Tamandua tetradactyla: one gene and its partner. The protein of the gene in region 1 interacts with the protein of each later gene in a pairwise test. Links are inferred from orthologs where the notes say so. Each region holds a gene or a part of one and is shown on either strand. Other genes may lie near its edges.

Region 1 (7,318 bases):
CCCCAAACAGATTCCAAGCAGAGAGGATGGCAAACACCAAACAAGGGTTGGGGGCCAGTAAGTAATCAGGTGACGAGGGCCCAGGTGCACCCAGAACTGGGTGGGCACCAGAAACAGAGCTTGGCAGCTGCTTGCGAAGGGCCTCTTGTCCCACATCACAGAGCCTAAATCCCTCTTCCCAAGAGAGGGCTCAAAGGCAAATTAAGGGGGACTAAACATTAAAAAGATGAAACAAAATCGTAAACAAACCACTTAACGTCAGTTATAGAAACAGTGCCAAATTACTCACACTGGTTAACTCCCACTTATACATACATGATACTGGAATATAAGGTGACCGCCATAGGTGCCAGGAAAGGGGGATGGGGGCAAAAGCAACACTTTTATTGTATAGGCTGTGGATCTGAGATTAGTACAGCAGGAAAGGATCTGACCACAGTCAAGAAGATTTTCACGTCCCCAGTGATCCTTAATGAGGCATGTTCTTCAGGTACTAAAACTAGTAAAAGCAGCTTTGTTGGAAGCATAATGCTGACGCTTAACTTCCCTCCTCCCCTGGGATCTTGGGGAACTGCCAGTGCAAACTCCAACTGTTCCTCTGACTTTAACAGCTACCCAACTACCGTTTCTACATCTCATCACACCTGAGGTACCTATGTGGGCAGTGGTTAACAAGGCAGTTCTGCCCTCTGCACTGTTCCAAACAGCCAACATGGAGGGATAATTCCTGGATGAGGAACAGAAAGAGAGAACCACCAACTCTTTAAGGTGACTTATTCAGAGCAAAATTGCTTGTTACTCCTATTTCCGATCTCTAAAATTCCTGGCCCAAAAATCAGCACTGCCACCATTTAACCCAGCACGCACATGAGGGCAGATCATCTTGGATTTTACAGCCTCTGGGATAACTGGGGCCAAACCCCTCTGGCTTAGACCCCGCAGTGGCTCTCAGCCTGGACTCGGTGGGTCTGCGTAAGAAAGAGTCGCAGTACAGTGGCCAGAGGCTCTGTCCTAGTACACACTGTGTCCCCTTCCACTCCCAAATCCCCCTGAGCTGCAGACAGCAAGTGTGGTCCCACCTTTCAGACCCAAAAACTCCCAAGTGGGCAGTTCAACTCTTACCCAGAATTGTCTCTCGTTACTGCCCCCTCTTCAAGTGCAAAAGCATGACAGGCACCTATATGTCCCTCTCTCCCAAAGTCTTTCATAGATGATACAGTTTCCAAGCTGCCCCATGGATATTCTCCAAGACAATCTGCACAGAGTTCATGAAACTCCAAAATACATGACTTACAGTGAATTAGATAAGGAAAAGCATAAAGAGAACCACCAAAATTTATTATAATTTTAATAAAACCCACTTCAAAATGCAGCCTAATATTTACTAAGATTTATTTCAAATGTGATTCACATTATTCTTTACTAGCTAAGATCATCTTGCTGTTTTGACTTACAGCCTTGAAATACCACCACGTGATGAAAGCATCACAAGAGAATGCACACAAATCCACACACAAAACTCCTATGGCTTCAGAAAGTTTGAAAGCCCTAACCTAGGATGCTGTCAGACACAGTTCTTCTTAAGAGTTTTTTGGGACTTAGAATCCCATAAATGGGGCAGGCCACGGTAGCTCATCAGGCAGACTTCTCACCTGCCATGCCGGAGACCTGGGTTCACTTCCCAGCGCCTGCCTGTGCAAAAAAAAAAATCCCATAAATGGGATTTACGGTCCCATTGTTCAGAGCCTCACTTTTTATGGAGTGCGTGTGAAGAATGTGGGGGAAGTCCATCAACTCCATAAGGCTTCAAACAGTCTTAACCAAAGAGGAAAATCAAACTATGCATTTTCCCTTCATCACACTTTATTTAATAAAAAAATTAAAAATGAGTATGATTGATCCTGAACCTCACTGGTGCCGGTCTATCACATCTACCTTTGAGCACTGACTCACCCCTGGGTGTTCTTGGAGCTCTCAGGGGTTCTGACTGTCACTCAGATTCAGCCCAGGCCTGCCCAGGACAGGCACAGTCACCAAGAAGGAAGTCACCAGGAAGTCACCAGACCCCAACAACGACAAAGACTGGGGGGTGGAGCGGAACAAAAAGCTTCCTTTGGTTTAAAAACACAGTTACTTTACCCACTCCCCACCACCAGCACTAGGACCAACACACACTAACTCACTAACCACTAACTCATTATCCAGTCTTTCTCCTGAAAACAGCACGATAAAAACCAGAGTGTGGATCAGTCTTTAGCTCCTCCCCTAAAAGGCCCCGTAAAACTGTCGGTCTAGTTCCACGCACGAGTCAGAGAGAAAGCACACTGCCTACACCCGAGGCCGCCTCCATCCCAGCCCGCTGCGACCTGGCCTTACCCTCCTCCTCTTGGGTTTTAAGAACCATCTTGCTCTGTCACAGCAGCACCCTACAGGCCCACGAGGCTTGTCCTTCAGAGGAGAACTGCAAGTCAGAGCAAAGTTTCCCGTGAGGGTTGGTCAAGGGGTTCCAGAGGCGCCCGTGGGGCTATCTGGCCACCAGACACCTCGGTGCTGCTTCCTGAACTGAAGGGGAATCGCTGGCTGCTCTCCTGGACCAATCGGCCTCCAGCTCACAGGGAGCGTCCCGCCCAGTCCCTGGTCACCACCCAGTTCCTGAAGACAGGCTGAGCACCTTCCCGCCCAGGGGCCACCTCCCTCCCAAGGCGGTCTTAGCGGGAGGCAGGCTGCCCTTCCCCGCCTTCCTCAGATTCGGCTCGTCTACAGTGGTGGCACCGGCAGCACCGACTGCAGCTTTCCTCTCCCCTTTCCAGTACTTTCTCAGAACGGACTTTGAAATCCCTGATTGTCTCATGGGATGATAGCTCATTTCCTAAGAGAATGACTAAGAAATCTTAATCATTACAGCACGTTATGAGGTCACAGGCTAAAAGCAGAAGGCAGGGCGGGCCACGGTGGCTCAGTGGTAGAGTTCTCTCCTCCGTGCTGGAGACCTGGATTCGTTTCCCAGTGCCTGCCCATGTAAAATAGATAAATAAATAAATAAATAAATAAAAGCAGAAGGCAGGTTTTAGAGAGAAAAAAAATATTCAAGGGCAAAATTCTCAATATAAACTCGGTTTTAACACCATTCTGTTTTCTAATGTGCTACCCCAAAATCTTTTCAGCACACCCTTATTATATGATACATGTTCACTATTGAAAATTGAGAAAGCATTATAATAAGAAAACACAATCCCACCATCCAGAGATAACTGATGATGACATATGGGGAGTCAGCCTCCCAGACTTGTTCACTTTCATTTGTGTGTGTTCTCACTCTGTATATATATTGTTTGCAACAAAAATGAGATACTCTACATGCTGTTTATAACACCATTTTTACTAACATTTTCCACAACTAACTGAACATCAACCATGCTTTTAGTATTTTACCATATAAACATAATAGGCAATCCCTTAATTTAAGACTTTTAAGTAGTTTCCAATTTTACTGCCACTCTCAGCACTGCAATAAACACCCATGTGCACAAAAAATCTCTTTATTTTCTTAACAAAAATTCTTAGGAGTAGAGTTGCTGGATACAGATATAGTTTCCATGATATTCTGGTTCTTCACTTAGATATTCATACTCGCAAGTGGCAAATAAAAGGAGAACAAGTGTGCCTAATGCCTCTGCATTAGAGGTCCTGTTTACGAGGGGTTCCTTTGAACCCAGTCTGACATGGCCTAACCCACCTACTCCTGAATGCACCTCTGCGAGGCAAGTGTTGTCTTCATGTCCATTCACGGACAAGGACACTGAAATCCCAAAAGTTATATGGCTCAGCCAAAGTCCAAAGAAGGCTGCTGGCTGTAGAACTGACCAGCTGCATGATGCTCACTTCTGGTCCGCCAACACCCCCCTCCACTAGGCCTTGGTTGGCATCGCAGGTGCCTGTACTCTTTGGTGGGGAGCCTGAACCTGCTGTCCTTTGCCCTGGTACTTGTTAAAGAGCTGGAAACACACAGGCTAACAGCAAGATGGAGAGTCACCAATCATAATTTGAAGGCGACCACAGGTGCTGATGCATCACGGGGCAGAGACTCATCCCACCCTTTTCTGTCTTGCCTAATAATAGTTAAATAAATATAAACATATATATATTTTTAAATACTTTTTCTGTAGAGTCAACTAACAAATTCAGCCTTTTACCCTTTGACTTAGAACGTCAAAAAAACAGTTAAATCTTCTCCTTTCTGACCTCCATCCACAAGGAATCCCAGTATCAGTCCATTTCAAAACCTAAGAGTTTAATGATTCCCAAATCAGCACTTCCCATCTTCTGGTGCCAGGTCTGATTCTCTGAGGATGATCCTAACTTTCAAGAAGACAGGTCATTTCTACACTCTACCTGCTGTCAAATGGGAGAGTATTTCTCTGGAGCTGACACCCAAAGGCAAAATGGCTAGGTCATCACATCTAGACAAGTCCAGCTTTAGTGGACACTGCCAAAGCACCTGCCATTTTCCTACAGCTTCCCAAGCTCAGGCAGCATCAAACTTAATTCCTGCCAGTCTGATATGTGGAAAATGATGTCTTCTTATTGTTTCCAGTTTGCATTTACCATCTGATTAGCAGTGATGCAGGTGATCTTGCCGTAAATTTGTGTATTCCCTCTCCTGTGAACTGCCTGTCCACATCCTTTGCTCATTCTTCTATCAACTGTCTTTTTTTCTTATCAACTTGTAGATTACTAATCCTCTGTATTAGATGTTGCAATTATTTTATCACAATCTGTTACTTAATATTAACTTTAGTTGTGGTATCTTTTGTTATACAGAAGTTTCTATCTTGTTATAATCAAATCTAGAATCTTAAACTTCAATTCTTTTCACTCAAACACATTTTTTTTAACTTTTTTTATTAATTAAAAAAATTAACAAACAAAACATTTAGGTATCATTCCATTCTACATATACAATCAGTAATTCTTAGTATCATCACATAGTTGCATATTCATCATTTCTTAGTACATTTGCATCGATTTAGAAAAAGAAATAAAAAGACAACAGAAAAAGAAATAAAATGATAATAGAGGAAAAAAGACTATACATACCATACCCCTTACCCCTTGCTTTCATTTACCACTATTTCAAACTGAATTTATTTTAACATTTGTTCCCCCTATTATTTATTTTTATTCCATATGTTCTACTCTTCTGTTGATATAGTAGCTAGAGGGAGCATCAGACATAAGGTTTTCACATTCACAGAGTCTCATTGTGAAAGCTATATCATTGTTCGATCATCATCAAGAAACATGGCTACTGGAATTCAGCACTACATTTTCAGGCAATTCCCTCCAGCCTCTCCACTACATCTTGAACAACAAGGTGATATCTACTTAATGCGTAAGAATAACCTCCAGGATAACCTCTCGACTCTGGAATCTCTCAGCCATTGACACTGTCTCATTTTACTCTTCCCCCTTTTGGTCGAGAAGTTTATCTCAATCCCTTGATGTTAATTCTTAGCTCATTCTAGGGTTTTTCTCAGTCCCTTGATGCTGAGTCTCAACTCATTCCAGGATCTCTGTCCCATGTTGCCAGGAAGGTCCACACCCCTGGGAGTCATGTCCCACGCAGAGAGTCCCCCCTCAGTTGTTTTTTTTTAAAGGGGAATTTATTTATTTTATTATTATTATTATTTTTTTACATGGGCAAGCACTGGGAATCGAACCTGGGTCCCCAGCATGGCAGGCCAGAACTCTACCTGCTGAGCCACCATGGCCCTCAAACACATTTTTATTCAGCAGTAACTACCAGGCATGGGTGCTGCACCAGAGAAGTAAACATAAAAATACCTACCCTCGTGGCATTTATACTCTATAGGGAGACGGGTGAAGCAGGCAAGCAAATTAGTCAATGTGCAGTATGTCAGGTGGTAAACACCGCAGCACTAGGGCCAGGGGCACTGTCAGGACAGACCTCTCTGGGAACAGCAAGGAGGCCAGGAGCTGGAGCAGGGGTAAGGCCAGAGTGGGGAGGCCTGAACAAGGCCTGAGAGGCCATTTCCAGGAATCAAATGCCTACCCCAGGTGAGATGAGGAGCCAGTGCCAGGCTTCCAAGGAAAGTGCAGTGCCTTGCCCTCCTCTGTAACAACACTGTGCTCACTGGTGGATAAGAGCAAATGGTGGGGGAGTAAGGGCTAGAGCCAGGAGCCCAGCTGGGAGGCCCTGACAGCTGTGCCAAGGGAGCTTCGACAATGACTGCCTAGGCTCTGGCTGTATTTATGCTTGTGGAAGAGCCAAAGACTTGCTGGTAGATTTCCATGAAGAGTGCGAAAGAAAGAAATCCAGGATGACTCCAAGCCCTCTGGCCTGGGCAAGAAGAATGGAGCTGCCATGCTCTTAGCTTCCCATGCCTTCAGAACAGGTTTGTGCCGCTTCTGGGTGTGGGGGTCAGGCAGCCGCCCCGAAGCTGACAGCATGGTAGGGCATACCTGGCCCGATATCACATGGCATTTGCTAAATCTAGCGCAACAAATAACATTGTTAAAAAATGAAGCAATGAATGAAAATACATGTTTCAAATTCCTTAATGAAGAAATTTAACTACTGACATGCCCAATTATATAATCAACTCACTCATAAAGAGAATGGCTACATACTTTACTATCCACACAGGGACATTTTCATGTCTGCAGCTGGTGCTGGTAGTAACTCCTCAGACAGTGGGTAGGACCCGGGGCCATCCTGGGCCAACTGAGGCATTCCGCTGCCCTGCCCTGCCCCTAAAATGCAACAAACTATCATACCAAGACTGTGAGAGGAAGGTCAGTGTACTTATTCAAATGTAAAGTACAGAAAATTCAACAACCATTTGGAAGAACAATGGAGCATTACAGAAGAGAATGATGATACAGATGCAGGCCTGAGAAAGAATGGGGTTTGGCTAAATGAGACAGTAGAGTGAGGGCTGGCTGGACCCCATAATCATCACTAAAACAACAAAGTAGAAGAAAACACTATATCTGTTCAGGCTAAAAATCATGAATCAGGGAATTCTGATGCAGGTGTTTGGACTCAAGACATAAAATATCATTTTACATTTTCAATTAATGCCTCAAATTGCCTTAATCCTTTACTGAGCTTCACCCCATCTGGTGATGGTAAGGTAAGAATATTCAAATATTTAATGGCTTGATCTTACTTTAGAAGAAAATTTACATAAATATTTATGTAATGTTTCAGGGAAAGATTCTCTTTAGTGGGATACCTGCTGTTATTCATAATCTCAAGGGACAAAGGTACACTCAGCATGGGAACTGGACAGGC
Region 2 (7,194 bases), on another chromosome or scaffold:
ATGCATGCACAGAAATCCATTTTAAACAAGTCTGAGTGATTCGAAAGATTAACCTGAAACTGCAGGGTAACCGGATACAGTTTTGCAGAAACCAAAGCCAACCATAACAAGAAGTATGAATTGTTGACGTAAGCCCTGAAGGTATTGGAGATAACAGTAGGCAGAGAAACACTTGCTCTTTTGATGGTCTCACAAAGATCTTGTTGCCTGTAATTCAGGCACTACCAAATTAGTGGCACTCTAAAAATCCTCTAAAAACCACTTAAAGGAAATGAACATCCATTTGATAAATTCTGAAATGTGATGATAAATTTTTATTAGGTCCCATCAATGACAATTGCATAGAACCAGAAGTATCTCCTACAAGGTGTTCTTTCGTTTCTATTTTTTTAATCAATTTTCACAACAATAAGAAAAAGCTGTTTAGACAGTAGGGATCTACCATTGGAAAGAAAATGTAAAGGGTTTGGGGGAGACCTAGAAAAGATCAGAACATATGAATAAATTAATCGGGATGTGTATATATATGCATTTCTTAGGGATTTCACATACCTAAATCCCTATCATTATCTTTTCCCCAAAATCAGCCTCTCCAACTGATTACCTTTTCTCAGTTCATGTTATCTTCACTCAGGCTTAAAAAGAGAGACCCTTCTGTCGCCATTGCCTTTCATACTCAAGTGTTTTTGTCTCCCCTCCGTTCCCTCATTTTCTCTTTCCCCAAAGAATGCAAGTCACTCCCTTTCCACTACTTTCCACCCATTTACACACATACCACTTTTCTAAAATAAAGTTCCTAAGTCCCTCCAGTGCTCAAAATCCTTCAGAGGCTGCCTGTGCTGGCCAAACTACTACTTCCTCACGGGAAGTGCCCAAGTGTTCCGCAAAGCAGCCCGGCTCTGAGGAACCTCCCACGCAGACACGTGCAATGTCCTTCTGACACACTTAATAACTTGCTGCTACTCAAATATGCCCTACAATCCCTGGAATCTGTGCCTCACCATTAATTATTCCCTGGCTGTGGATTACTCTCCAAACTCTGGAATATTCATCCTCTAGGCTGTACTCAAGGACCTGTACTTGGATTAGATCATTTACTTTGTTTCACTTTGTAGTGCCTAGTCGCTCAGCCTACTAGACTGTAAACCCGATAAGGACAGGAAATGGGTTCTCTCATCTCTTTGTACCTCCTACACTTAGCATGATGTCTGTCCCCTCCTAAGTACTTAGAAACTATCTATGGCATTGAAATGCCTAAGCATGAGCTAAAGAAATAGATAAGATGAAGAGGTTGCAGATAGGGAGGATGGGAGAGTGGAAAGTTCCCACCCTAATTCAAAAATCGCTATCTATTTTTAGCAATAAATAGTCTATCAAAAGGTGAAGTCAGAGCCTAACCAAGTGAACCACGTTTTGCCTGATAGCTGCATGGCAAATAGAAGGTACAACAGAAAGCTCTGTGTTTGAAAACTAAATAAAGATGTTGGTACTTGCCTTACTTGCTTTATTTTCAAACAGGATGTGAATTGATAGGAATGTTCATCATCACATTAAATTTAATATCATGTAAGCACTTTGGATTAAGATGGAGCTAAAAACCAAACCATTGCAACTATGTGCTATCTTTATTGTGAAAAGTATCAAAGAATCAGTTAATAGATATTTATCAAAAAAAGATCATGCCTCTCCCACCCTATTGTAATTTTATAATCCTGAAATTAGTAGGTTTAAGAGGAGCATATGTTGTAGATGCATGATTTAAGGGCAAAAATTCATGCTTTAAAGCAATTCTAAATATTTTCCGTATGACTGCTATGTCTAAATTCAAATGGGTACCACCTGAAGCGTTGTTACGCTTACTTTTATTTTACATATTGTAAGCCAGAGAATGAAAAAAAAGTTCAGTTAGATATGTATTTTTTCAAACGAGGTTTCCTCCCTAGGGGAATGCATTGCAGTAAAAATAATAACATAATTTAGTCTTTCTTGAGCGCATATTCTACATCCCTCATTGTTTTAAACACTGCACGTTTCTTCACTTAGGCAGCATGAGAGACCCATAAGAGCGACTCTATTATTTATAATAAATCTTGATTTTAGAAAAAAGAAAACTGAGGCTTAGAAAAGCAAATGACTTGCTCAGGATCCCACAGCTAGTAAGTGACAGCCCTGGTGTCCCTTCTGGCACTCCCCTTGCGGTCTAGCCTCTCTTACCCAAGAGAAATTCTAATTTCTCATAGCGTGAGGCACATGGAAAAAACACCCCAGAGCTGAAGAAACTGTATTTACCCAACAAAACTTGCTCTCAAGAAAAAAAATATTACCATTTGATTATAAAGTGAAATGAGTAACTATCAAAGACTGGGAATAAGGATGGGAGGGAAAGAGTCCACAGGAGATATAATGGGGAAAAAAGATCAATAATTCTCTTAATGGTTGTATCTGTACAAACTACCTTCACATTTGGTGTGCATAAGGATTCCCATTTTCATTTTACCCGAACATCTCTTCAAATAAGAGAAACACTTTGCTATTACGTTTTGCCTTGAAAAACAATTTTGATTTTGGTCTCAAGCCTTCAGACTAGTCCACTCTTCTCTGGGCTCCTTGCCTCCTTCCTCACCCATGCTCTTATCACTAAAAGCCTCTAAAATAACATTTCTAGGATGAAGTCAGACAAACATTATGATTCTACTCTGGTGAGAACACAGGCTCTTTAGAAATGCATACCTGCTTTCGTCCCCGAGGTAAAGTAGCCACAGCGTCTGCCAGCATTTGGAGCCTTCTATTATCCTCCATCTGCAGGTTGTCTGTGAGTGGGGAGTAAGAGTCACACGCTGGAGGCACACAGTAGTCCAAACGGCCATGGCTGCTCGACTGCATGAGCCTTTGTAAAGACATTGTGAGAATAAAAATTACTCCAGCTGGTACATGGTTGAGTGGCCTTACGGGCCAGGGCGAAGCTAAACCTCTAACCCTCTCACAAGTAATCAAAAGTAGCAAAGCAGAAAGAACCCATGTGACTTCTGTGGTTTGAGGTACTTGTTACACAAACGCTATCTTGGTGTTCACTCCCATTTCTTAGTGCCTTTTTTTTTTTTTTTTTTAATTTAAGCCCCTGGGAGAACTTAAAGCTGGCTTTTACAATGAAAGAAAATCAATTTATTCTTTTCTCCTTCAAACAGCCAGAACTCTTAAGCTTTCATGTTCTATGGCAAGATCAAAACACCATCTGCCATCTTTTTCTTTAAAGAAGAAAGAAAAACTTCCCAAAGTTCTGCCATTTGTTTTTCATCCATTCCCTTAAATATTAGCCGTGCAATGTAAAAGTCAGAATGTGCGGACACGCAGTTCTTGTGAACATTAAACAAGAATTTCAGGTTCCAGTTGTAATGTTCTCTCACAAAGCCCTTGTAATGTATTTTTCCAAAGGTACCCCCTACCTCATTAATGTTCATTAAGGAGACATTATATCTGCCACTCGGGTTGGAACCATTTAGCATCGTTGTCCTTCTACTACTGTGACCTGGTGAAAATCAACCATTACTTTAACAAGGTGCAATGGGAAGGGAATCTCCGCATCAGCAGGTGGTCGCAGAGGAAGAATGGAGTGAGCAGGAAGACAACGGGCAAACCAAAGTGGCACACCGATGTCGCCAGCTGGTCTCTACGTGAACATACGACTCAAGGACATCATCACAAAGCACTCAAGATCACAGAGTTTGGCTCATCTATGTTTTGTGTATGGGCAGTGGGGAGAGGTAGGTTTTGAGGGAACTAGTTTCAGGGACATGGCTACAGACGCAAGTAAAAGGAGGAATCAAAACAAAAATTAAAAAAAAAAGGTTTGATGTAGCACAAAAAAGTCAAATATGATTTTCAAACTCATTTTGAAGGCCAACAGTGGAATTTAAAAGCGTTAGAAAGTCTTTGAACTGAAATGGAACATGAGTGCGTTGGAAGCCAAAGTGAATTCAATTGAAGCGGAGCTTGCCAAATGTGAGTAGTAAAACCTTTAGTTAACAGTTCTTCAAAGAATGGAGCCAATTCAGAAATTTTAAAAACCCTACCACACCATAACTCATTACTACTGGAGCTGAATTATGACATGGACAAAATGATGCTCCCCAAAATATATGAAGATCTAAATGAGGGATTATAAACACACAAAACTTCAGGGGACAGGTGGGGAGCATGTATGCGTAAGACAAAGGGGAAACTTGGGCAATGAAGAATATATCAATTATAAAAGCAGTTATGTACAATTTATGGATTAGATAGATAGGCATTTTTAAAACATCTCCAAAATACCCCACCGTACTTAATCATTTAAGTCCTATTTATTGAGGACAGCAGTCCACCTGTCACCTAAGAAGTTTTATAAAGTTAGGTAATTTTTTTTTGACGTGCTGTATGATGGGGGTCACATTTCATTCTTTTTCCATCTGAGTACCCCATTATTGCAGCACCATTGGTGAATTTTTCTTCTTTGTTTTGCTCGTCTGTTTGTTTTTGGGAAGCGCATGGGCCGGGAATCGAACGCAGGTCTCCTGCATGGCAGGTGAGTATTCTACCACTGAACTACACTTGCACCCCTTAAAATGAGGTAAATATTTTTAATATTTCAAAATACCAAGTGGAAATTATGCATTTCCCAGATATACAGTAACATAGGCCAATGAATGCATCATGTTTTATGGAGGAGGCTAAAATTATGTCAATTTTGTGAGTCATGCTGGTTTAAAAATTATGTTAATTATACATGTCTTTCATTTAATTAAGAAATTGGAAAACAAATTATTTATTATTTAATTTATGAAATGTGTTTAGCGAGTGGAATCTTACAAATCAAATCATGTGATCTATGGGGGGGGTGGAACCAGAGTCTATTGACTACCATGCAGCCAGTGCATACCAGATGGTCACACCCATTGATTATATATTTACAACCTGGTCTATTTTGATTGGTCAGTTCCCTGTTCTTCTTGTCAGTGCTTCTGTCAGACCAGTTATTAAATATTTTGATAACATCCCCAATCCAAAGTGTCCATTGTGACAAAATATGGGGAAACACTAGTCTTTCAACCTGAATCTGACTTCAGAACCTCAAACCCTTCACTGGCAATGGTGTTCTAGTGTTTTCAACTTCTTATGATTTGCCTTAGAAAAATTATAATAACTGGACTGTCTTTATCCCCTTCATCCTCCCCATTGCTTCAGAAAGGTGATTCTGGAAATTAATCAGATCAAACCATAATCCTTACACACATAACCAGACCGAGTTTCATTTCACAATTGGATTTTTTATCAAAATTCAAGATAAACAAGAAACAATGTTCCATTTCTCCCCTTAGCTAACACTCCGCATTGGCCCCTGTGCTCAGTTTTTGGGTAATCTAACTCTTGCCCAATGCGGGGGTGGGAGGAGCAGTTTAACTCTGCAGGATCAGGAAGGGCTTTGGGACTTTAGAAGGTAGCTTCTTGGAAAGCAAGAGACCTCTCTGAGCACTTGAATTTTGTGTAGTACCTGAAACAACAAACACCCACACAAGATCTAGATGATTTCTCTTTGGCATTTGAATAAAAACCAAACTCCTTGGTCTGGCCAGCAAAGTCCTGCATGTTCTATGAGCTGCTATAACTTCACGTCACATTACCCCCTGGTCACACTGGCCTTTCTTCTGTCCCTCCAACAGAAAGCAGTTCCTCTTCACGTATTATTCCCTCTGCAGGAAATCTGCCTTGTTCTTTCCTCTCTCCATTCAAATCCCAGCTTAAATATTATCTACTAGGGAAGCCTTCTCTGACTGCCTCAGTTAAAGTAGCCACTCTCTCTGTTCTGTTGCTTGGTTTCATTTTCTTGATAGCACTTAACTACAGCTAATGTTATTCTGTTTATTTATTTACCTCCTTATTGTTTGACCTCCCCCACTAGAACATAAAATTCATGAAAACAGAACTGTTCATTTGAATCCGTAGCTCCTAGAATAGTTCTCAACCCTCAGTAAATAATGAATGCATGAATGAGCTGATTGTTAACCGAGGGAAGAAAAGTAAAGGCATCTGTAAATATCCTTACTTTTACTTTATTAATTTAATTGATGAAGTTAAATAGACTACTAAGCATATAATCATGATAACAGTTAGGCAATGTGCTAAACATGTTTAATTTCATACAAACCATGATAATGGTATTATATTTATCTTTCTGTTTTCCAGATAAGGATACTGGAGATAACACACTTGCCTAAAATCACACAGCTCTTATCTAGGACAGACAAGCTTAGAATCCACATCATCCTTTTCCAGTGCTGACAAGGCTAACTGCTCTATACTACTGTCTCCAATAATTTTGCTAGCACTATGGGGATGTAAAGGTGATCCCTGCCTCAAGAAGATCAGAATCCAATAATGGAAGATAGAGACAAACAAATGAATGAGTGAATGAATGAGTGAAGTCTCAGCATGATAGCAGTTTAATATCACTGTTTAACACATACTATGGATTTACCAAAGAGAAATAAAGCATTTCCTCTACTATATCTCAGCTCATACTCTATGACATTTGCAATCTAAAGTGTATAAAATGAACCATTTTAAAAGGAAGAGTGTCAATTATTCATTACTACCCATTTTTTCTTACGTTTATCTCCTTAAAGAGATATTTAAGGCTATCGTAAAAAGTAGAAGGCACTGTGAACTCCGAAAACTGATGACCACCCAGAATCTCCTTGGCCTGGTTTTTGACTCAAAACACAATAGAAGGCCTGTGAGATAACAAATATTGAAACATATACAGGTGTTTGGCAAAGCATTGTGCTGGATTCAGAAACAGTGGCACTTCCCCTTTAGCCAAGCATTATGAACATTTTACTTCACTAAAATCTCAGGGGGCAAAAAGGCTGTGAAATGAAGGATTTCATCTAAGATGGTTGGATAGCTGACCTCATTCTCAAAACAGAAGCCTGGGGAAATTGCCATGAAGTCCAGATACTGGATTTCCAGAGGTGGCCCGCTAGGACTGCTCCCTCTTCACTGATAGAAAACTACAGAAGTTAGTGCTTCCTGAGTGTTTCCAAAGTGGAGGACCATCCATTTCTCCTGTCCAGTAAACATACTATCTTCTGCTTGGGAGCATTGGTTTCTTCTGTTTCGCAAATCCATCAATCACCATGTGTATATCCAGTTCCGCTT

The links.
Region 2: the proteins of CYTH1 (region 1) and CYTIP interact in binary tests that used the Homo sapiens proteins (3 or more experiments, as listed by UniProt). The link is inferred for Tamandua tetradactyla from reciprocal best matches to the Homo sapiens genes CYTH1 and CYTIP.

Annotation. Positions count from the first base shown.
Region 1 is NC_135332.1:71,097,896-71,105,213, forward strand, and holds the start of CYTH1 (cytohesin-1), read right to left. Parts: upstream 3,024-7,318; 5' UTR 2,405-3,023; coding exon 2,377-2,404; intron 1-2,376. UniProt on the Homo sapiens protein: Promotes guanine-nucleotide exchange on ARF1, ARF5 and ARF6. Promotes the activation of ARF factors through replacement of GDP with GTP.
Region 2 is NC_135329.1:127,771,960-127,779,153, forward strand, and holds the start of CYTIP (cytohesin-interacting protein), read right to left. Parts: upstream 3,012-7,194; 5' UTR 2,902-3,011; coding exon 2,731-2,901; intron 1-2,730. UniProt on the Homo sapiens protein: By its binding to cytohesin-1 (CYTH1), it modifies activation of ARFs by CYTH1 and its precise function may be to sequester CYTH1 in the cytoplasm.